Linked DNA regions of Drosophila melanogaster. Changing the gene in region 1 together with any one later gene gives a genetic interaction. Each region holds a gene or a part of one and is shown in the gene's direction. Other genes may lie near its edges.

Evidence for each region.
Region 2: of Galphao (region 1) and Plc21C, changing one suppresses a phenotype caused by changing the other (phenotypic suppression), as found in Drosophila melanogaster (one study listed by BioGRID).
Region 3: of Galphao (region 1) and Dhit, changing one enhances a phenotype caused by changing the other (phenotypic enhancement), as found in Drosophila melanogaster (one study listed by BioGRID).
Region 4: of Galphao (region 1) and fz2, changing one enhances a phenotype caused by changing the other (phenotypic enhancement), as found in Drosophila melanogaster (one study listed by BioGRID).

Annotation. Positions count from the first base shown.
Region 1 is NT_033778.4:10,435,990-10,440,997, forward strand, and holds the start of Galphao (G protein alpha subunit o), read left to right. Parts: upstream 1-1,995; 5' UTR 1,996-2,117; intron 2,118-2,258; exon of another isoform or gene 2,259-2,362; intron 2,363-2,481; exon of another isoform or gene 2,482-2,503; intron 2,504-2,616; exon of another isoform or gene 2,617-2,748; intron 2,749-3,381; exon of another isoform or gene 3,382-3,385; 5' UTR 3,386-3,456; exon of another isoform or gene 3,457-3,524; coding exon of another isoform or gene 3,525-3,642; intron 3,643-5,008. Other genes in the region: CG12895 (uncharacterized protein), read right to left, coding at 760-1,030, 1,093-1,274, 1,331-1,348. UniProt on the Drosophila melanogaster protein: Guanine nucleotide-binding proteins (G proteins) are involved as modulators or transducers in various transmembrane signaling systems.
Region 2 is NT_033779.5:308,332-313,235, forward strand, and holds the start of Plc21C (phospholipase C at 21C), read left to right. Parts: upstream 1-1,868; 5' UTR 1,869-2,274; intron 2,275-4,904. UniProt on the Drosophila melanogaster protein: The production of the second messenger molecules diacylglycerol (DAG) and inositol 1,4,5-trisphosphate (IP3) is mediated by activated phosphatidylinositol-specific phospholipase C enzymes.
Region 3 is NT_033778.4:17,791,157-17,798,645, forward strand, and holds Dhit (double hit), read left to right. Parts: upstream 1-1,713; 5' UTR 1,714-3,394; intron 3,395-3,962; 5' UTR 3,963-3,970; coding exon 3,971-4,272; intron 4,273-4,439; coding exon 4,440-4,448; intron 4,449-4,729; exon of another isoform or gene 4,730-5,897; coding exon 5,898-5,975; exon of another isoform or gene 5,976-6,045; coding exon 6,046-6,107; exon of another isoform or gene 6,108-6,171; coding exon 6,172-6,460; exon of another isoform or gene 6,461-6,528; coding exon 6,529-6,613; 3' UTR 6,614-6,972; downstream 6,973-7,489. Other genes in the region: CG5033 (uncharacterized protein), read left to right, coding at 1-77, 141-628, 689-984, 1,048-1,201.
Region 4 is NT_037436.4:19,232,360-19,237,112, reverse strand, and holds the start of fz2 (frizzled 2), read left to right. Parts: upstream 1-1,739; 5' UTR 1,740-2,099; exon of another isoform or gene 2,100-2,308; intron 2,309-4,540; 5' UTR 4,541-4,753. Other genes in the region: CG33647 (uncharacterized protein), read right to left, coding at 56-235, 302-619, 679-753. UniProt on the Drosophila melanogaster protein: Receptor for Wnt proteins.

The DNA of each region.
Region 1 (5,008 bases):
CGACACGACCCTTGAAATTGAATTAGCCCTTTGTTTTTCGCTTCCACCGCCCGAAACACAACAATCACACACCAAAATATAATCTAGAATTGATAGTGAAGGGACTAGCCTGGAGCAAAAGCTGTTCAATCATCTCCTTAGCATGTTAATATAGAACCGAATCCATAGTTAACTGGTAGACATTCGCGTTTTAATTCTCCGTGTTTTCAGCGATTTTCGATGGACTCCGCGCCATCCCGTGTCTTGTGGCAAGACTAAGCAAAAGCAAATGAACATTTTAAGTGTAATGTTTCGCTATAGTGTTTAAGCGTATTAAAATTTAATCTATATATACAAGATTGGTCATACACACATTCGGCAAACATGAATAGAATTTAACTGGATAATCGTTTAAATATATTGTATGGATGTGTATTTCAGGAAAGCGAGAACTGTGTTTTAAAGGGGGTTCAAATTGGATTAAATATATGCCATTCTGACAATGTGTTCAGTTTTATATATTAAAATTGTATCTTTTCAAATGTCATGATTTGTTGATTAAGCTGAAGTTTTCAACAAATAAAAATAAAAATGAAAGCACATTCAAATTACCAAATCACTTGCAACCGTATTATTTATTATTCCGTATAAATGATCGTTTTTAAATACCAGGTAAAATGCAAGTTCAAGTCATTGGTCTTTTAAGGATCAGGAGTAGAATAACACATTCATTTAATACATTGTTTTGTATGCTTATATATATAATATAGTTTATAATGTTCACAAATCCGGCTGCCTTATCCTTTGCACTTTTTCATGATTTTTGACGTGCTCCTTTAGCAGACGCATTATTTCGGTATCGAATTGAGGAGGTGTTGGCTTGGTATCGGTGGCCCAGTAGAATATATCCCAGTCGTTGCTGACACCATTGATCAACTGATCGTACTCGGCGGTCTGCTCGGCATTGAAGTCCTTCAAATGCTTGGCCACAAAAGTGCTCAGCAAGAGATCGTTTTCCAGCATTCCGCGTTTCCTGCTTTGATACAAAAGGCTGCACAAGATAATGAATGATCATAAGTAGGAGTTTGGGATATTTTCATTTTAAGCGTATACCGCTGCTTGCGAGTTTCCAGCGGCTCATCGGGACGGACAGGATATTCCGGAACTGGCAAATGCGGCGGATCATCGTAGTCCACAATTTCCCCGGGTGTTGTGTACTCAGTTTTGTCCAAATTGCTGGCGAGGCGACTTTGGGCCATCATAGGTAGTTGCAGGCGACGGCCTACCGTAGATACCTGTGTCCAATTAAGCAATCAATTATATTTTACTACATTTGGGGCCATAAACTTACTATAAATTGCCGCAACATTTTAGGAAACGACCAAAACAATGATATAACGACAGTGTTGGCTAAGAAAGTTAAGTATAATCGATAGATTCCTGCTATAATAATCGGCTGTTGCTATAAATAGTGCTGGAAAGTGCACACTTTGTTGAATTAATCATTTATTTTATTTAACCGTTCAAACCTCAGGCGAATTTAAATTAAAATAGTTGTTTTATTTTAAATATGAATATATTTGGGAGAATATGCACTGCAATTGTTATGAAAGGTATGCGAATTTTTAATAATTATTTGCAATAATATAAATAAAAAATATATCTCTATTTGTATCACTTAAAGCTCAAATATTGTATTCATGAGATCCTTTTGAGTGGCCTGCTATTTAAAATCCAGATAAGTTTCAAAACATAATAAAAAAATAAATGTCTGTACATACAAAGTGATGCAAAATATTTATTGAAACTAAAGTGAGCATGTTCTTTCATATTTATATAAAACATTTTATTAAATTATATGTATATAAATAGCGGAAGATTTTAACAAATTTAAATTTTTAAATATAAGCTTGTTTTGCAGCAGCTGTTGTTGCGGCCAGTGCTGGTCAACAGCCACCCCCGCCGCGTCCAGTGCTGCGCACCGACGCCGCCAACAGCTGTTCGAACGCCTCGCTCTGCAGTTGGAAAGAGCGAACGAAGCGAGAGAGAGCAGCTAAATTTTCGCACACCAGAAAAGTGCAATTTACCAATATCACTGCGGCCAAAAATACAAGTGCAAGTGCTCGGCAAGTGCAACGGTAAACTATCACGATCGGTGCAATAAATACAGCGAGTCGCGAAAAAGAAGCGCAAAGCGAACGGAACCAATAAGAACAGCCAAACGCAAAAGAGAGCCTCCTGCACACACACGCACACAGCAGGCTGAAGCAGACCCACACACACGCATACACTAGTGCGGTGTGTATACGACTGGAAAACTAGGCGGTGGTAAATGTGAAGCTGAAAAAAGCTGAAAAAAAGGAAAAGGAAAACTCGTGGGGTGGTGGGTGGCGGCCCAGTGGGCGGGGGGTGTGGCGTGTGCAGCGCGTGAGAGTGCGTAGTGCGTGCGTGTGAGTGAGTGAGTGTGTGCGCGCGTGTGAGTGAAACAGCGACAAACTAAATGAAAATTTATACATCCGAAATGGTTAACAGTTTGCATAAAAACGGCATTACTTTTTGCATATGTTAATGTGCTTAGGCAAACGCTCGAAAAAGAAAACTCCACAACCCACCGCCTTTTTTTCCACCAACCCGGCGCTTTTTTAGCGCCTACGCCCACGCTTAATACATACACACTGCATAAAAAACATACAAATAAAACCAAAAAAAAAAAAAAACAAACAAAATTTATAAAAGTTTTATTAAAAGTGTGACAACAAAAAATAAGTGGTATCCAAAAAATAAGCTTGAGTTTTTGGCTCTTTGACCTCGAGACTAATTCACTTACATGATAAATTACCATCGTTCTTATCGCGATCCAGCATTATCTGATGGATTTATCTTATCAGCGCGATTGATGAATTTTGTATCGATATCGCAAACATGCTCCATATGCAAATTAGCTGGCTATCATTGCTTTTATTTTTACTTTGCGTCTGCTGATAAAAAACAAAAGCAACATAATTGATACAGTGCGCGGCCCATTGCACAGACAGTGGCGGTCATAAAATTAGTGCTTGTCTCAGTACAGTACAACATCCATAGAGCGAACGATGTGTTCCATAAACCTTGTAACATCAGTTTAAAATAATCTTTTTAACTATTACATACAAATTAATATACAGCTGTGTTTCTCATAATAGTTGAGTAACAGAAAGAATATTACAATTACAATTACAATTTGTGTTTATACACAGCAGACAAAATTAATTTAAGATAACTCAACATTATTATTTTGAACTCGGCTGTATATTTAACACATCCTTGATATTCATTGGTTCGCCTTATCGATCGCGCACTGTTTATAGTGAATCATCCGCTGACCCGTGTATTTGTTATTGTTGATGGGTTCAATACTCCATTTCAGTTGAAATCGTTAAACTGTACATAAGCAAATAAGACATAAAGAAAAAAGTCCAGGAAAATTGGAAAACAAAAGCCCGAAAACCGAAAAGCCCCGTGTAAATCCGAATCCGAATCCAAATCAGTATCCAAACCCAACCACAATGGGCTGCACCACATCCGCCGAAGAACGCGCCGCCATCCAGCGATCCAAACAGATCGAGAAGAATCTAAAGGAGGATGGAATCCAGGCGGCCAAGGACATCAAGCTCCTGCTGCTGGGTAAGTGCACTTTTCGTCGCTTTTTCTCGTTTTTCCACTTGGGTTTTTCTCACCGGAAATGGAAATCCTGCTCAGCGTTTACCTTTCCACTCGACTCGACTCTATTGTTCGTTCTATTTTGGTGGAAATTGCTGGTTTATCTATCGGCCGCCAGATTCCGGGGCACTTGGAAAATTTTATTTTCGGTTTTATGTGCCGATAGATAGGGGGATATTTATTGCACACACTTTTACTCTGCGGCGGAAATGCTGGATGTACTGGACGCAATTTTGGATTAGCTGCTCTTCAATTTCCATCAAGGCTTATATCAGAGTTCACATTTTTTAGAAGATTCAAAGACTGGAATAAAAGTAAATTCAAAAACTATGATTTTTGTATGTACTGACTGGTTATTTAAATTAAATGTAATGACTTGTTGCCCCACAAAAGGAATCGAACTCAAGGTTATTCCACTCTATTTGAGTGCTGATGAATCGATTCCATGACAAAACTATTTTTAGCGTGTTTTTTTTGGCCAAGGCGAAACCGAAGTAATTTGGGTCAACTTTTGGGTGTTGCATGTGGCATGGATATCCGAAAATAAAATGGACTCATGCACCACTGTGCATGCAACATCTTAGACAATGGCAGCAGCAACAGTTGCATCCGCCCTCGTGGCAGGCGAGTGTGAAAACCTAAACAGTTTCGAGGAGCCATGTGGCCTGCGGATGACTCGGTCCGATTAAAGTGGTTTCAGTACCAAACAGTTCGATAGTGATGAAATAATTACAATGTTTTTAAAAAATATATAAAATAATGACTAGAATTAGCCAAATCTAAGAAAACAGTGCAAATTATCTGAACATAGCTTAAGAATTTAAAGATGCTAAAAAATCATCATGTAGATATTGTCTTTGCTGTCATCTCTATCCTGCATCAGCCTGAATCTCATCGTCGAGTGCATCTGTGAGCTGCAGCTGCAGCCTTAGCCTTAGCCTTAGATTTTGTCCAAGTGCGTCTGCATCCGCCAAAAGATGAGGGCAATCGACGCCACTTGACATTGAAACAATTGCACGTGTGTGCCAGTGGGCGGGTGTGCACCATGTAGCATGGTTTCGAGGTGCAGTGTTTGTTAACCTGGTTGCGCCACTGACACCGAAATGTCAGTTAATCCCATTGACTTTGACTTGCCCCCGAAAACGAGATAGGGATGCAGTCAGGCAGAAAAAGGACAAAGCTGCAATATGCACGGGAATTTCTCTTTCACTTTAACATTGTACACAAACATGTTGCGAAAAACAAGCAAAATCTCCATATCGTGGATGCACTTAAAGCAGCATTCAAACAAACCAAAAGTTAAAGATATAAAGTTTACAAAACATTTAAT
Region 2 (4,904 bases), on another chromosome or scaffold:
CAGACTGGCAGATAAAACACCTGTAAATCCCCACTTCAAAGCAGCACCACCACCCACAACAACAATGCCAGCAGCACCACCCACTCACAGTGGGCGCAACGTGAGGAAAGGCGGCGTGAGTTGGGACCGCTCGATTCCCACCGGATGTTAATGTTTTATTTGGATTTCAAATTTTCTGTTCGCTGTTTTTAATGCACGCTGATTTGTTTGGAAGAAAATAAACAATTTTGAAATTTATTTAGTTGGGGATCTAGGGATCGCTTGGTATGGAATGCCATGTGATCCCATGTGCGGCTGCTCTTTCGCATTTTATAGCCGAATAAATATGCAATGAGAATTGCTAGTTGCCATAAGTAGTTCGAGTTTATGACTGCTTGTCGATCCTATGGCCGAGCTCGTTCCCCACTGGGATGGGGGATGTTTGGTGACCCCGATGGGTGGTCGTGAGTCACGCCCGCAGCTTTCGTTCGGCACCCAATATTTGCATATCTTTTGTAGTCCACCTAGTGACCTTGGGGACGCCGAGCCGCAATCAATCAAGCGTACAAAACAGAGGGTGGAGGGGGAGGGGGAGCATCTTGCAACTGTCGCCGCTGTGGAGTCCCAATACACGGATACGGAGACGGAGACAGATACAGATACAGATGCAGAAGAATTTGTCTCACCTTGTCAATCACTTTTTGGAGGGCAAAAGCAGAAGTCGTGGAAAGGGTGGAAGGAAACTGAGGAGAACCACCAACGAAATATGTGGGTCAGGTCTTCAATGTTTTCCCGCATATTGGATGTCATCTTTCCCGCTGCCCCTCGGCGCTGACATATTTTCCGACTTTTTGGCCGATCTCTGATTTCCTATTTCGCGTTAATATTTTCGTATTTTCATACCCTATAGCATCCGTCAGTCGGGGGATATAGGTGTAGAATCTCTTTTAATTCGCAGACTACGTATGAATTTAATGATCTATTTTTTACATTTTTGTTATGTCACAAAAGGTTTTCCTACGCTTGGGCATAAAAAAGTTCTTACCTAACTAAGTCACAGGCATTGTGATGCATGAACAAAGTCGAAACATGGGCGGAACATCACGTTATGCGATGTAGAGCACTCGTTGAGCGAGGGTATTGGAACAGTCAGAACCCATATATCTGGGCTTCCTCTTCTCGACGGTTTTTGTTCCTCTATTTTTTTGTGGCACATGCGCGCGTTCCGAGACCGGACGATTTGACGCTGTACTCACGTACGGCGTATGTCGGGGCATTAAAATTAAATAAATATATATATATATTCCCGGCTGCAATGGGTAGCGGCAGACAAAACCAAAACTCAAATTCAAATTCAAATCGAGGCGAGGCGAGGCCCACTCAACAACGCCCAAATTGGCAATTTTAATTTGATTTTCTGGCCGTTTCAACCGCTGATTAGGCGATGCGATGTGACGGCGCTGTCCAAGTAAACATTCCGTTCCCCGAGTTCCACCGAAGGTTTTGCCAAACTATTCAGCAACTATTATCAATTCTGGTTCGCCAAGGGGGTTTGCGTTTGCCTGGCATTGTCGGTTCAAGCCTCATTGTTGCCGGACTGGCTTGTTTATTTGAAAATTATTCCCCGCTTGACATAACCCCACCCCTCGCACCTTGCAACCTCTAAAAGGAGGGTTCCCACAGGGGGGGGACCGTTCTCCCGTTATCAAAACATGAACATTTCGCCGCAAACGCTTTTCCCAAAACAAAAACAAAACCTGGCAACGCAGAGAGAAAGCTTCTCAAACAGAGAGAGGTTCTCAGGGAGAAACCGAGAAAATGCCAGAGAAGTGTGTAACATGGTAAAAGCTCGCGGCGAAATGTGCGAGACTGAGAAGCTTCAGCTCTCTCGTTTTTGCATTTCAGCAGCATTGAGATTTCCACATAGATTTTCCCAACAGACATTCGTCGTTCGCCGAAGCGTTCGGTCGTATTAGCGGAAGATTTTGGCCCGAAAACCCGCCCGAGATTTTCTCCGGAGGAACCCTCTCCGGGTCCCCAGAATCCGTATCCGTATCTGCAGCAGCCGAGTGCGTGTGTGTTTCTCCGTATCTGTGCGTTGTGACTAAGCCGACAGTTAAAAACTATAGCTAAACTAAAATAGGAGAGCGAATCCAATAAAAAATCCCATTACCACCGGAGAGGTTATCTTCGTTTGCCAGCGGGTGCAAAATCTGAAATTGAAATTTCGCTGCTTACGAAATACAAATTCCACTCAACGAAGTTTTCATCTGAAAGTCAAAAACTTTGGCACAGGTAACGCACCGAACAGAACCTTTTCACTCTGCGGATTTATCAGGGAGTTGAGTTTTGAGGGCGGAGGAAAACGATTCTCGAGTTCAGCACCGCACACACAAAATTAAATTAAAATACAATCTCATTCAGTTTATTTGTTCAGCATCGTTTTCTTTCACGGCTGCCTAATTGAAAATTGTGCTGAAAAATGCTGTTGCCCCCTTCTCCCCATCGTGCGTCTGCCGTTATAGGCAAACTGGTCGATTTCTATTCGAGCTACGCCAAATTATTTGTTGTGCCTCGCTTCCATTCTCGTTCCTTTTCAAGTTTAAATATTTCGCTTTTGATTTGGAAAACTTGAAAGATCTCTGTCGATAGCCAAGCTAGTGATCTGTCGCGGGGACGAAAGGCGTTTGTCAATGATTTTGCGGCGCTGCCGCTGTTGCCTTGCCATTGCCAGTTGTACTTGAACTCGTACCGAGCGCGTGGCGTGGCGTGGCGCGTATCTCGAAATCTTTGAGATACTGCTGGCTTGGAAATCCGAGAACGGGGCAGATAACGCTTCACTGGGTGGCTCGTGAATCACGCAAAGCCAGCTTTTGATTTGAGATCTCCCAACGATACGTGGCCTTTAGGACATTAAATACGTTTGGAAAACTAAAAAAAACCAAACCAGTTATTGCAATGGGTATTGGCCAGTCAGAGGTGGATATAGGTTCTTCACAGTTTTATGTTATAAGTAAGAAATACCATACCATAGTGTAACCTAAAAGGTATAACATTCATCTATACTGAAAAAGTCAATTTTATTAGCAATTAGCAACCATTCAATTTTGGAGCGCCTCGTCGCCCAATTGAAAGGGGAATCGTTGGAGAACCCCGATTCGAGCTTGTTATCAGGTTATGGCCAATCTGTGCGATGAATTCGAAGCGGGAAGCTGCAAAAAGCTAATGAGTAGCGCATCAGATATCACATCAGCTCCTGGTGCCAATTAGCGAAACGCTTTAAGTTGCCAGCTCTCTGTGTCTTCGCCTTCTTGCTATTCCGCTTCCATTTTGCAGCATCCACTTGTGTGTTCAGTTAGGTCCTGTTTCAGTTGCCACTCGAGGCATTTATCAAGTTGAGGCATCAGCTGCACCACTGATATGCAATTATCCCACTTGATTGCTGCACCACGCCCCTTTGTCTCCCTCGGCCTCCATTTCAAAGGCAGCTAGTTTCAATCATTCAAACACAATTAAGGCATTAAAGGACACAAGCGCCAGAAAGGACAATTAGTCTGCGTGGGTGAGTGTTTGGCTAATTATGCTGACATGGCCATGCCTCTGCTCCTGCTTCACTTCCACTCGGTTTTCCATTTTCCATTCTATCTTCATTCTCTACCCGCCTCATCCGATTCACCACTTGAGGCTGCTCATTAATTATTTAGCAGCCGCCAACGCGAGAATACAAAACTGAATAAAAGTCGCGCATACGCAACGTAGGTCACTGGGAAAATTAAACAACTATCGTACGTATGGACGTACACTGGAAAAAGGTTGTTTGCATACTGGCAAGACCTCGATTGTCAAAATAGTTCTGTATCCCTTTCTTCTGAAAAACGCATATAGTGGTTTTAAGGATATGTAAAGTATGGAACTTTTTTGAATATGCAAACCTAATACAAAAAGGTGAATAAATGATTTCCCTAGTCCTATAAATGTACGTAGTATTGCTCTAGGTGTATACAGTGTATACATTTCCATTTGAGTCCAGGCTTGTGTATCTTAAAACGAACCTGTTGTTAAATCCATGTAACTTAACCTGACCAACAATGTTGGAGCGCGACTTTCTCGCTGTGTGGCACCCATTTGGTTGCTCCTGGTGATAGACCATTGCACAGCGATCTATCATTATAATGAAGCGTCAAATCTAATACGTCGGACAATCCGGTCGACATGGGTGGGGGTGTGGTGTGTGTGGGGGGTTCCTACTCCTGCTCTCTCTCTGCTTCTGCTGATACTGCTCTGTCCCCAGACTGATAACGTTGACAAACTAGATAAAAGGGCGATAAAAATGGAAAAGAGAAGCAGACATATACGGAAGTGTTAAATTTAAAACAATAGACTAAGTGAAAACGTTACTCAGAAATTAAGTATTCGTTCTTATGCGATAAGCTCACCCGGATTCTAATTGTATTTCGTTTATCGAATTTACTTACTTTCAGCATCAACATTTCTCTTCAAATAGATAAAGTGTTACGCTAATCGTTGTGTTTTGAGAGTGCTTGTTGGAAAGAGTATCACAAATTCGTTTTATGCTATACCGAATTTTAATTCTTGGCGTACAAACAAAATAGAACTAAATTTGTGCGCGCAAACGTGTTTCGGGTGTGTTAGAATATATTGGAGTTTGTTTGCGGTGACACTGAAACGCGGTTTTAATTAATAATTATCATTTTCTGTCACAAATTCATTTTGTTTGCGGTGGCTTTATGTAAAATCCCACCTTCCCGCTTCTGTCGCCTATTCTTGATTATGCATGACCACAGTTGACGTGGAAAGCTGTCGTAAATTGACTGACCAACCTTGCCGCAATCAAAGCGATGGTTTGACATTAAAGTTATAGACCCGCAGAAAAGAGAAGAAGGATACATATCGAATAATTGAAG
Region 3 (7,489 bases), 7.4 Mb from region 1:
CGATCTGGTGCGGTCTGTTAGTGTGGAGCCCAAGGGAGAGTACCTCGTCTCCGGTTCGGATGATAAAACCGTCAAGAGTAAGTACTAATTTAATTGACAACCTTTTAGATATCTTCTTACTAATCCATCTCACCTCACAGTTTGGGAAATTGCAACAGGTCGTTGCATTCGCACAATCGAGACCGACGAAGTGGTACGCTGTGTGGCTTGGTGTCCAAATCCCAAGCTGTCTATTATTGCGGTGGCCACTGGCAATCGCTTGCTGCTCGTCAATCCTAAAGTGGGCGATAAGGTGCTGGTGAAGAAGACCGACGATCTCTTGGCTGAGGCGCCCAGTCAGGATGTCATTGAAAGTGAACGCATCAAGACGGCGGTGCAATGGTCAAATGCGGAAGCTGATGAGCAGGAGAAGGGCGTCCGCGTAGTGATTACCCACTTCAAACCCATCCGACAGGTGACCTGGCACGGTCGTGGTGACTACTTGGCCACAGTGATGCCCGAAGGTGCTAACCGCTCGGCTTTAATTCATCAGTTGTCCAAGCGGCGCTCACAGATTCCATTCTCCAAGAGCAAGGGTCTCATCCAATTCGTGCTCTTCCATCCGGTGAAGCCCTGCTTCTTTGTGGCGGTAAGTGGGTTAATTTTCTTTTGTTAGTATGTCTTATTGAATTCTGTTTTTTCTTTACAGACGCAACACAACATTCGCATTTATGATCTGGTCAAACAAGAGCTTGTCAAGAAGCTGCTGACCAACTCCAAATGGATATCGGGCATGTCTATTCATCCCAAGGGCGACAATCTGCTGGTGTCCACCTATGACAAAAAGATGCTCTGGTTCGATTTGGATCTGTCCACAAAGCCCTACCAGACCATGCGACTCCATCGCAATGCAGTTCGCAGTGTTGCTTTCCATCTTCGATATCCGCTCTTTGCTTCCGGCAGCGATGACCAGGCTGTGATCGTCTCCCATGGCATGGTCTATAAGTAAGTGGCTATAAATCAACATTGCCCAAGGTTAATTACGAATTTCTCCAAACTTTTTTTTAGTGACCTGCTGCAAAACCCTTTGATTGTGCCTCTCAAGAAGCTGCAAACACACGAGAAACGCGATGAGTTTGGTGTGCTGGATGTTAACTGGCATCCGGTGCAGCCATGGGTCTTCTCCACGGGCGCGGACAGTACCATCCGACTATACACGTAATTTAGGTGTACAAACCCCAAGAAAGTTTCTTTTAGTTTCCGAAAGTTTTGTGAAATTTCAATAGTAAATAAAAAATATATTAATTTTTATGAAAAGTAAAGTATTTCATATAACCATTTCATTCGAACATTTTAAAAACAACGGTTTTCGAAATCAACGGGATCCCAAAATCAAAATGTAAGTGCAACCCTGCCGAAAGTTTATAAGTTCTGGCCCCAAAGCTTTGCGGTAAATTCCAGTGGGGCGAAGAGTCCCGAGCTTTATTCTCTTTTTCCGACTCGCGCACATGTCTTACCGTCCGTTCTCTCGCGCTCTCCGCCTGTCAGTCCCTCTCCTGTGTGTACCAGGAATTCTAACTGTATAGCAATTCCACAAAGCTTTTCGCTCAGTCCACCTATGGAGCCCTCCCCCGGCTGCCCACTTTCCACTCGCCGTTATCTTGCGTTCCTCGGGAGGAGCGCGCGCATTGGAAAATCAAAATCAAGAGCTGGCGACACGGCACTGCTTGGAAATCAGTCGCCTGCCTTTGCCCGAGCGGAGAGAATCTCGAAACGCTCGAATCGACCCGTCGAGGATTTTGGCTTCAGCTTCTGGGTGCTGCTGGTGCTGAGCAGCCAAAATCGCAGAGCGCAGAAATCGAATGGGAATTGGCTGCCATTGCGGGGGCACCGAGCACGAAGGAATATAATAAAATATGGCCGAGGGCGAAATGTGAAAATGTGAAAATGCCAGTCCAGGCAGTCCAGTGACCACGAAAATTGCAGTTTCCCCCAATTCGTATTCATACACACACACACATTCTCAACAGTCAACGAAAAAAATCGTAAAGAAATTCACAAAAAAAAAATCGAAGCACAAGCAAAACAATTTCGGGGCGAAAAAGAAAAATATATACAAATATACACATTTCGATTCCGATTCTAGTGGCAAAAATTCGTATGTACTCGTCGCTGCTCCTCAAAAACATACATACATACAAACGCGACCCCCTTTTCCCGCCCACCCATTCGCCCAAAAATCCTCAAAGAAAATATAAACGTGTGTGTGGTGTTTGAGTGAAAATCTGAACGGAAGCGCTGGTTCAACAACAAGAAAATAAAACAAAATATACATATAATATACATAGATAGCCAGGCTAAAGGCAATGGTCAACAAAAGAACCCAAGCAGCTGATTTGTGATAAGTGCAACGACCAAAAATCGCTGGCGTTTCGAGTTACAAACAAGTGCAATTAGCTGCTGATGCCTACATGTTGCAGCTGTTGCAGCAACATCAGCACAAGTGGAGAAAATCACGCATACGCCCCATCCGCCCAACGGGCCAAACAATGCGCTCCACTTAGCCAAGTTGCGTGTCAATGTGGTGGTACTCCAGCCCACCCCCTCCTCACGCACACACGCACAGACGCACGCACACAACGGCGCCTACATATATATGTACATATACAATGGCAGTGTAATGACTAGCACAAGAAATAAATAAAGGCCAGAACAACAACTACGGTGGCAGCTCCAGCTGCTCATAAATTTCGTAACGCTTGTGAAATGTGCCCCTTGGTGCACGGGGCCATTGAATCGCTAGATTTTCGCCCGTAAATCCGGAGCGGAATATGTAAATGCCACCCGCGCACCGTCAACTCTCTAAAGAAACGCTAGACCCCCTAGAAAAAAAAACGGAAACCAAACCCACGCGAAGGTTTGAAGTCAGGAACCTACGATAAGGATAACTACTACTCGAAAAGGTTATCGAAAAAATCTTGAAGAATTTCTGGAATTTTTCGGCTTGTAAAATCGCCCAAGGAAAAGCTAAGGAGAAGGAAAAAAAACATAAAACAAAACGAAAACTAAAATCAAGAGCAGCAGCTGTGGGCAGAGCGAGAAAGAGAGGACAGAGCGCCACAGGGAGAGAGAGAGAGAGAGAGAGAGTGTGTGGGAACTTTCGATAAAAAATTATTAGCAAAAACATAAATACGTAACGGTCTCCCTGCATACCCCACATCCCCAAGGAAGCCGAGAAAGAGAAGCCGAAGCAAAGAAAAGAGCACCAAAGCGAGCGGGTGAGTGGGTAGGTCAGTGGCAGTGGGCGGTCCGCCAGCTGGGGCAGCACCACCTCACCACCCAACACCCATCACCATCTCCACCTCCACCATCTCCGTCAGCTCCGCCAGCGTCAACCTCAACTTTCAAAGGGCAGGTAAGTGCACACGGAAAACGAGGCGAATCGGGAGCAGTTGGACCTACTCCTCCAGATTACACTTTCCCGAATATGTATTTATTATATTTTGATAGTTTTGGTAAATTAAATATACAAACAATCAATGTTTTAATAATTCAACAGTTTTCTTTACTATTTAATCTTTAATTTCATATAAAGTTTCTTTGTGATAAATGCAAAGAACAAATATTACAATTTTATTTAAAAGGTGTTTTGACTAGATTCAAATAACATATTTATGAATATAATGTTTATAATATAAATATAATATTTATAATAATATTTATAATATAATGAATCAGTTTCAGTATCTTTTGAATGACATCTTGTCAAATTAATGGGATCCAAACCAAAAAGACAAACACTCACCAGCCAAGACAATTAAGTAGTTAAGTTCCGGGCACCTTGGTTAACAATTCTTTCTAGATGACTAATAGAGCTATTTTTTGCAGTGTGACTGTGATTCGCCCAACTGTCAGCACACTTTCCCCCCACTCCATCCCGTGCACAGTGTTCATTAACGTTTCAATTTGTTCCTTTATTGCAGGTAGCGGCATGTCCTGCACCGTTTCCGAGCTGCCCAGTGGCTGTCGATTGCGCGGCATGACTGCATCCTCACAGCAAAGTGCCGCCAACAATAGTGGCAACAATGGGAATGGCAATGGGAACGGTGGCGGCGGGGGCGTCGTCGGAGGTGGCGGCAGCCTGGGCGGAGTATCGCCCACCGTGGGCGGCAGCGTGGGAATCCTCGGCTCCACGTCCAACGTGCTGCAGGAGTCGAACGCGACCACGTTTCAGCGTCCGCAGTCGCAGAAGCCTTGCTGCTTCTGCTGGTGCTGCTGCTGCTCCTGCTCCTGGTGAGTATGGAGGCCACCACCGAGTGGCCTATTTGTGCACCGCTCGAATCCTCTGACACGAAATCAATTTCTTTCTCGTTACCGCGCTGCCTTGACTCAACCGTTCGGTCATTAAAACAACTACCTGTGCCAATACCCATCCACTGCCAACCACATCCTGACAACAGGGCCAAATGGTAAGCACCTCCTGAAACACTCATGCATTCATACACCGAGAGAATCGATTGGTATTATTGGACTGTAAAGTATAGAATATTAAATGCGCAATTATTTTAAATACGTAATTATTTTACCTAGTTAGCTTTATTTTCAAGATATACTATAACAGATGAACCAATCTTTGGTTACATTAACATCGTTATTGTTAATTAATTTATTTATTTTTACTTATTTCAATATCAATTTTTTGCAAATTTTTTATTTTTTTATTTTATAAATCATTTCATTTTAAAGGTTGTCTGTTTGAGCCCTTTTTTTAAGAGAGTCGAAATATTATTAGTCCATGTTTCTCGCAGTGCTGTCATGGATGTGGCCACGGTTACAGCTATGGTTATTGCTTTGGCTTTAACTATTGCTTGGCTTTGGCTTTGGCTTCGGCTATGGCTGTGCCCACTGACATGGATATGGATATGGATATGGATAGGGAAGTTGAAATGGAAATGGACACGGTAAAGGTGGCCTTCTGCTGGCAGCTGGCAACGCTGCTGAACATCCAAAAGCTCTTTCTCTCTCCGCCATGCGAACTTTCTCCGCTTTCTCTCTTACGAAACGCTCTTTAGCACTGGTGCCGCTCTCTCAGTTTCTCCCGCATTCATTCACAATTCCGTGAGCAAGGCGACGGGCAGCGAAAAGCTCTCTGGAGGGCACTTTTCAAATCAAATATAAATAAGTATGTGGCGGCTCCTCCGCGGACTCCTCCAAGTGTTGCATGTTTTCGTGAATGAAAACGAAAGTCTTTTGCGACCCGCCGCCAACTCGCAACCCCCCGTCCGCACCTTTGTGTGCACAACTTGGGGGTATATCGCCCCGAAAACCCAGTTCAGAGCACCCGATGTCGCCTCAAACCCCCCCTGGCCGCATCTAATTTGATTCATATATGTATAGGGGTATATGTACGCCTGTGTGACTTTGATTAGGTATTGGGCCAGCGAGTCGCTCTGATAACTGTCGTCCAGATAAGAGAGCTTTATGTCAAGTTCGAGTACTCCGTTGCTCTGTCTCCGGGCTTCGAAACCCAAAACCGATATGCCATTAGCCTATCTACAGTGTTTATTCGAGGCATTATATCTTTATATCGCGTTCAGATATATGAGTAACTTTTAAACTCTCTAGCTTAAAATGTGGTAGAATCGCTTATGTTCAGTTTCTATGTTTGGTGCAAGTGTTTTATAAAATGCTAATCAGTAGCTTGCGCTATCTAAAAGTTTACGTTATCGAGCGGCTACTGTACTTACATATTTATGCTATTTTGTGCCAGTTAAAAATGAGTCAGGCTGAGCGCCAATTCAGCGATGAATAAAATTGTAGTATACTTTAAAGGGTGATTGATGAGTTGTAAAATCAAAATAATCGACTTTTAACAAGCAAACCCCCCTTGTTTTTTCCCTTTTTTCTTATCTTTACAGTCTGGCCATCAAGAATGCCGATGAAAATGCCCCCACGAAGCGAGATCTGGTAAATGCCGAATTCTTGGATGGCGAGCAGTGAGTTTGAGCACCAATCAACTTAATAAACTTAAGCCACGGAAAAACTACATTTATTTGTACATTACAGACCCACACTGGAGGAAATCCGCAGCTGGGGCAAAAGCTTTGACAAGCTGATGAAAAGTACAGGTAAGCCATTGACAATTGCCACCTTGATCCAAACTAATTGGTGGTTGGCCGAATATTTTCCCAGCTGGTCGAAAGGTGTTCCAGAACTTCCTGCGCAGCGAATTCAGTGAGGAGAACATCCTATTCTGGCTGGCCTGCGAGGATCTCAAGAAGGAGAATAGCCCAGAGTTGGTGGAGGAGAAGGCGCGCCTCATCTACGAGGACTACATCTCGATCCTGTCGCCCAGGGAGGTGTCGCTGGACTCCAGGGTCCGCGAGATTGTCAACCGGAACATGATCGAGCCCACGACGCACACCTTCGACGAAGCTCAAATCCAGATCTACACACTGATGCACAGAGACTCATATCCGAGGTGAGTGCTCTTTAGGCAAAAATAAAAGATACTGTATTTATACTTAAACGGGGTATCTTTTTCAACAGATTCCTAAACTCTCAAAAGTTCAAGACACTAGCTCAACTGCAAGACAACTCGAATGCCGGTTCCAAAGCGGATAGTCCAACTTAGAGAGGATGGCTTGATGTCCCGGATCGGATTTGGATTTGGATTTGGATCGAATTCAGTTGCGCTGTGTTGACTTCCGCTGTTGCTCTCCACTGGTATATCTCTGATTTTCCGCCCCAATCGCTGCTGCAATCGACTAAGCAATATGTATCCATTAGTAGAACCATTTAACCATTTTGCGAGCAGCCACGAAATCAGGATCCTGGTTGGGGCCGGTGAATCAGACGTCGTGCGTTCAATGTGAATCGGATTCCTTTCTCTTCCTACGTTCTAGTCGTTAGCTAACCAAAGAGTTAGGTATTACAAAATATGTTTTCACTAAGAAGCAGGTTCGACCACAGAAAGCATTTTCCAAAACAACCAAAAAAAAACAAAAAAACAGAAAGAAAAACAACAAGAAAAAAATACCCAGAAAGCTAATACGAAACGAGCGACACAAATAGCATCCATTGTAATACTAGTGATCTAAGAGACGTATTAATCAAATTGAAACCAAGATTACGGAACCCGCTAACTGATAAGTATGTTTAAACGTAATCATAAACCGCAACGTAACAGAAATACTTTTTCCAAAAAAACATTACAAAAAAAAGAAGGAAAGAAACCAAAAAATCTTTTTAAACGTATTACATACATAAACTTTATAAACTTATATATACAACACACCAGCATATATATATATATATATATATATAGTAAAATTGTTGTTTTATTTATGAGTCGAACTAATGTCCCGTCAGTTGACTAAGGACAACGCCAAGAAATAAAAAATAGTTTTTAGGAGAAATAGTTTCACGACTTTATTCTTTGGATCTCAGCTTAAGACTAAAAATCAAATGCAAATTGGATTGAGGAGAAGCCTCAGTATTTGAACAATAT
Region 4 (4,753 bases), on another chromosome or scaffold:
TAAGTAAAAAAAATCCATTTATTTTGCAATTACACATTTTGATTTATATAGTGATCTATTCGGTTTTAATATAATTTCGCCGAAGTATTCTAGAAAAGCGACCTTTAATAAGCAACCGAAATACTTTGCGATCCTTAACGCTTAAATGGGCGTCCGAAATGAAGTTCGTTTCTGGCATATAGCTGGGTATAAATTTCGAGTTAACTGTAAATCCCTTTGCGTAATACCGTTTATTCTAAAACACAATTTCCAAAATACGATATTAGAGAGTTTTATACAATTTCTTACCAGTGTTAATTACCATTTTCAACGGACATTGTATAGGAAAATTGGCGGTTTCGCGAAGCTGCGTAGTAACCATTCTAAATAAAAAATGATTTTCCACACTTGATAGCATCTGACAATAGTCTACATGTGAAGAGGTAAAATTCGTCACGTATGAACCTCTCTTAAATGTCAAAATGTAAATGCCCTTCAGGTCCTCAACATCTTGGGTTAATATGAACTCTGCGTATATTGAACCAGTGGGGTGGGAAGTTTCATTTAAGTAGCAGCTTACGTTTCTCACCAATTCTGGCATATAATTGAGGCACTCAATTTTCGTCATAAAAACTTCTTTCTATACGTTGAGATAGGTTAATGTAGTAGGACTTACATATATGATTCTATACTACTGACCTCTGCACGAACACTGCTCAAGATTAGGGTCCCCAGAATCAGGTCAACCAATATAAAAAGCTTTTTGACGTTCATACTAGTGGATAACTAATTGAAGACTAAAATCTAATGCATTTCAAACGCACGTAGGTGTGTATATTTTAAAATAAATGGGTTTTTAATGTGCTCAATTAGTGTATTACCTAATTTGTAATTGCTTATTTTTGTTGATAGAACATTAATATCGGTAAATTATTTGGACTTTTCAAGTTGGAGATGCGCAAAGTACTAATAGTATAAAATAATACTATAAAATTATTATATTATAATATATTATAATATTATATTATAATAATTAATACGGATTAGAGTGGGAGATCTGAAACAAATTTGCACGAATATGAAGCATTTAGAATCAGCTTAATAATAGTTTTCTAGTAATAACATATTGAAATAATTTGTATTCTTAAAAAAGAAAAACGGGTTTAAGATGAGTGATGATTTAGCTAGAACTTATACGTTTTCTTTATTTTACTGCGAACGCGATTTTACTGAATATAATTTCTATCAAAGCCCTTGAAGTAATTATCTTGATACCTATTAATTCTTCTTTAAATGGGCTATCCATACTATTACGCATTTATATTTAATTTATTTTTGATTTCTATGACTAATTTCTTGGTTAGATTCAGGACGATTTCATCATATTTTGAATAAGTGGTGCGAAATTACTTTTTTATTGGTCCATTCGACCAGTCTAGCATACAAAATATTTTCGTTAATAACATTGCATAAATTTATAGCTCTAATATATTTTATAATGACTTATTTATTTTGCAGAAACTTGTTTCAAAAAATTAACGTTTGGTGATTCGTTTGGTGATTACGTTACGTGATTCCGGGCAGGCCTTACGTTTCACGTAGCTCTGTTCCGTTTACCAAATCGTTTCGCGAGCTTTTTGGACCGGCGCATTTGTAATTCCATCTCTCTATTTTTCCTCCCCCGCATTTCTTAATCGTTATCGCTCTCTCTCTGCGAATTTTGCAAAACAACGGCCGGCCGTTTGGAAAAGTCGGAAGAAAGTCAGTTGGCAAGTGGAAATCACCGGAAAAACTACACAGCGCGGCAGAAGGAAAAACGTGAAAATCGCAGACGCTTACACCGCAGACGGGAAATAAAAAAAGCCAAAAAGCAGCCGCGAAAGGCAGCGCAGTCGACGTTGGCAGCGCCGAGGGCTGATAACAATAGTTAATAACAATAACAAAGCGGAATAAAAACAAAAGAGAGAAGCACATGAAAAGATAATATGTAAAAACCGAAACAAACAAAAAATCGCGCGTTTAATTAACGGACATACGACGTGAGCAGCGCGGTCGACGCCGCAGTCGCAGTTGGCGTCGCAGTCGCCGTCGCGCATTGGTGTGTGTTTGTGTGAGTGTGCGTGAGTATCTGTGTGAGCTGGAGATATAAAACTGCAATTGATTGCAATTTCGGCGGCATTTGCAAAATAGCAAGCCGGCGAAGAACACAAAACCGAGAAATCGAGAGATCTGCAAATAAAATATACAAACAAATAAAAATATATTAGTAATAAACTTATACAAAAACACAACAAATATAAAATCAGCACAACAAAAACACAGCCAAACGGTAAAGATACGAAAAAGCTAACTCATTTGTGTATCTAAAATAATAACAAAAAGCAATTCGAAAATGAGTACTTCTTGCATTTGTGTGAGCGCAGCTGTTGATGAAAGTGAAGGAAAATCATTCACATTTTCTACGGGAAAATGGGAAAGACAACAACAGCCACACACTCACACAGCTGCAAAAGAAAAGAGAGCACAGAGAGCTAAACTCAGACGACGCCAAGTTCTTTTTTTCCGCTTTTCCGTTGTTTGCATTTTATTTTTGTTTTCTGTTGTGTTTTTCGCACACAGGGAGGAAAACTCAGCCACTTATAAGTTTAAATTTTGAGTGTACACATCTTGTTTCAGTTGTTGTTTGTTTAAGAACATAAACTTTTTATAAATTCAAATGTTAAACGTAGATATTTCGACGTAGCTTTAAAGGACTAAATACTCTTTATATTGCTTTTTTTGCCCAGAATATAAAAGAATATATTTAACTTTACATAAGCTTATATTTCCAACAACGCTAAAAATACACTTTTTAACTTGTTGATTTCTTGACCATTTTTGTTAAAGTTTTTCGGAATTTCACATTTTTTTTATAAATGTAAGTTCGAATATTTATTTCTTTTTCCTTATTACACCTTATTACACTTTATTAAAGTTCATTCAAGTTCATTAACAAAGACAATATTATTTTTAATTAAAGTCTAAATTTGAACGATTTTTTTTGCATTTGTGGAATAATGTTGAAAACAATAAGATTGTTGTAAATAATCAATAAAGAATTGATCCAAGACAGGTCAATTTTTTTCTGTGTACATTTACGAGTCGAGTTCACAAGCCAGACAGCACTGTTGCTTTTGCTGCTGTTTTTGTGAGAGTATCTCATAGCTAGCTACCTAGCTGCAAAAAGTATCTAGATACTTTTGCCGAGTTTCCTACTCTTTTATCCGGCTGTCTGTTTATTGAGACGCGTCTTCAAGTTTTTTCCCCACATCATTGCATTCTTTAATTCCCTACATTTTAAATAGGAGCAGTTTCAGATGTTTCGAAATATTTATAAATATTTTCTTGCACTCGCATGTTGGCCGGCAGTCAAAGTAACACTCAACTTCAACTTCTGTCTGCGCACTCTAATTGAGTTAGTCTGGCATTTCAATGGGAGCAGCAAGCACACGCACCGCTTCTGGTCGAAAGGGGCGGAATGGTATTAGCAAGAAATGGGGGCGGGGCCGGGCTCCAGACTCAGCGGGTGGGAAATCCGGGGGGTGGCTCTTGCAGGGGTCACAGCCTAACCCGTGTGTTAAATTATGCAAAACGCTAAGGGAATGTCGAAGCAATAAGTGCAGAAATGTTTACATTCTCTGGCCAACGAAGAATATTATTCATATTTGCGTTTGGGTTAAATAAATAGGAAATTTGGTCATTTTGGTTAATTATTTTCCTAAATAATAATTAATTTTTGTTTCTTGTTATTTCTAATTATGCAATATTTATTTAGTTCTTTGAAGTAATGATTAAACCCAATCTTAATTTTAATTTCCCTCTACTTCCTTCTGATTGAGTGTATTAAATATTTCACTGAAATATTTTTCTTTTTCATTAATGCAAATGGCTTTTGAACTATTCCACACACCCACTGGTGTCTCATTTATATCTTCGCAAAGCACATTCATAAAAAAGGAACCTACAATTTCGCTCCAAACAACTTTTTTATCATAGCCCGGCTTACACGTACGAACACATATATTTTTGGGTATTTTAAAGGGTTAACACACGCTATACGACTGCCAAACTTTTCCACGTTGGCTTTTTGTGCTGGTCCTTTTATTTTGTGAAAATGTTTGGCATTTTTTGTATTAAATTGTCAGTGAAACGAGCGTTGGACCGTTTCCGAGGGGCATGGCAACAATTCAAAACGTGAACTGCCACTAAAACATGCCAAAAATCTGCGCATTTAAAATATTTGCCCCAGAGCCCATTGAGATCCAGCCAAGCGATGGATGGGCGGCGGAAGGGGAAAAGAGGAAAAATGCAGGCATTTTCCTGCGATTTGATTTAGTTGTTGTTGGCCGGGTTACACCTTTTCACTCACACCTGTCGTCTGTGTTTTTCTATTTTCAATTTTTTTTTCAGCAAACTACACGTCTGCGTTTTGGTTGCCCCCTGCAAGTCCTTTGTTTTCTATTTAATAGCTGTTTTAGCCACTTGCACGTGATCAACAATTAATTGGCAATATCTTTTTCAGGTTCGTCAAATCAAGCGGATCTCTCCAGCCAAAATAATCAGCAATCTGATGTAGCAAACGCCTATATATAGAATATACGAAAATGCAACCATTCCGTTCCGCGCCGTGCTAATGCAAACGTATACGATCCGAAACCGATAAATATAGAAATACAATAAACCCAAGTGAAATAGCAATTTTAAACGCCAATAAAAACAAAATATACCAATTACA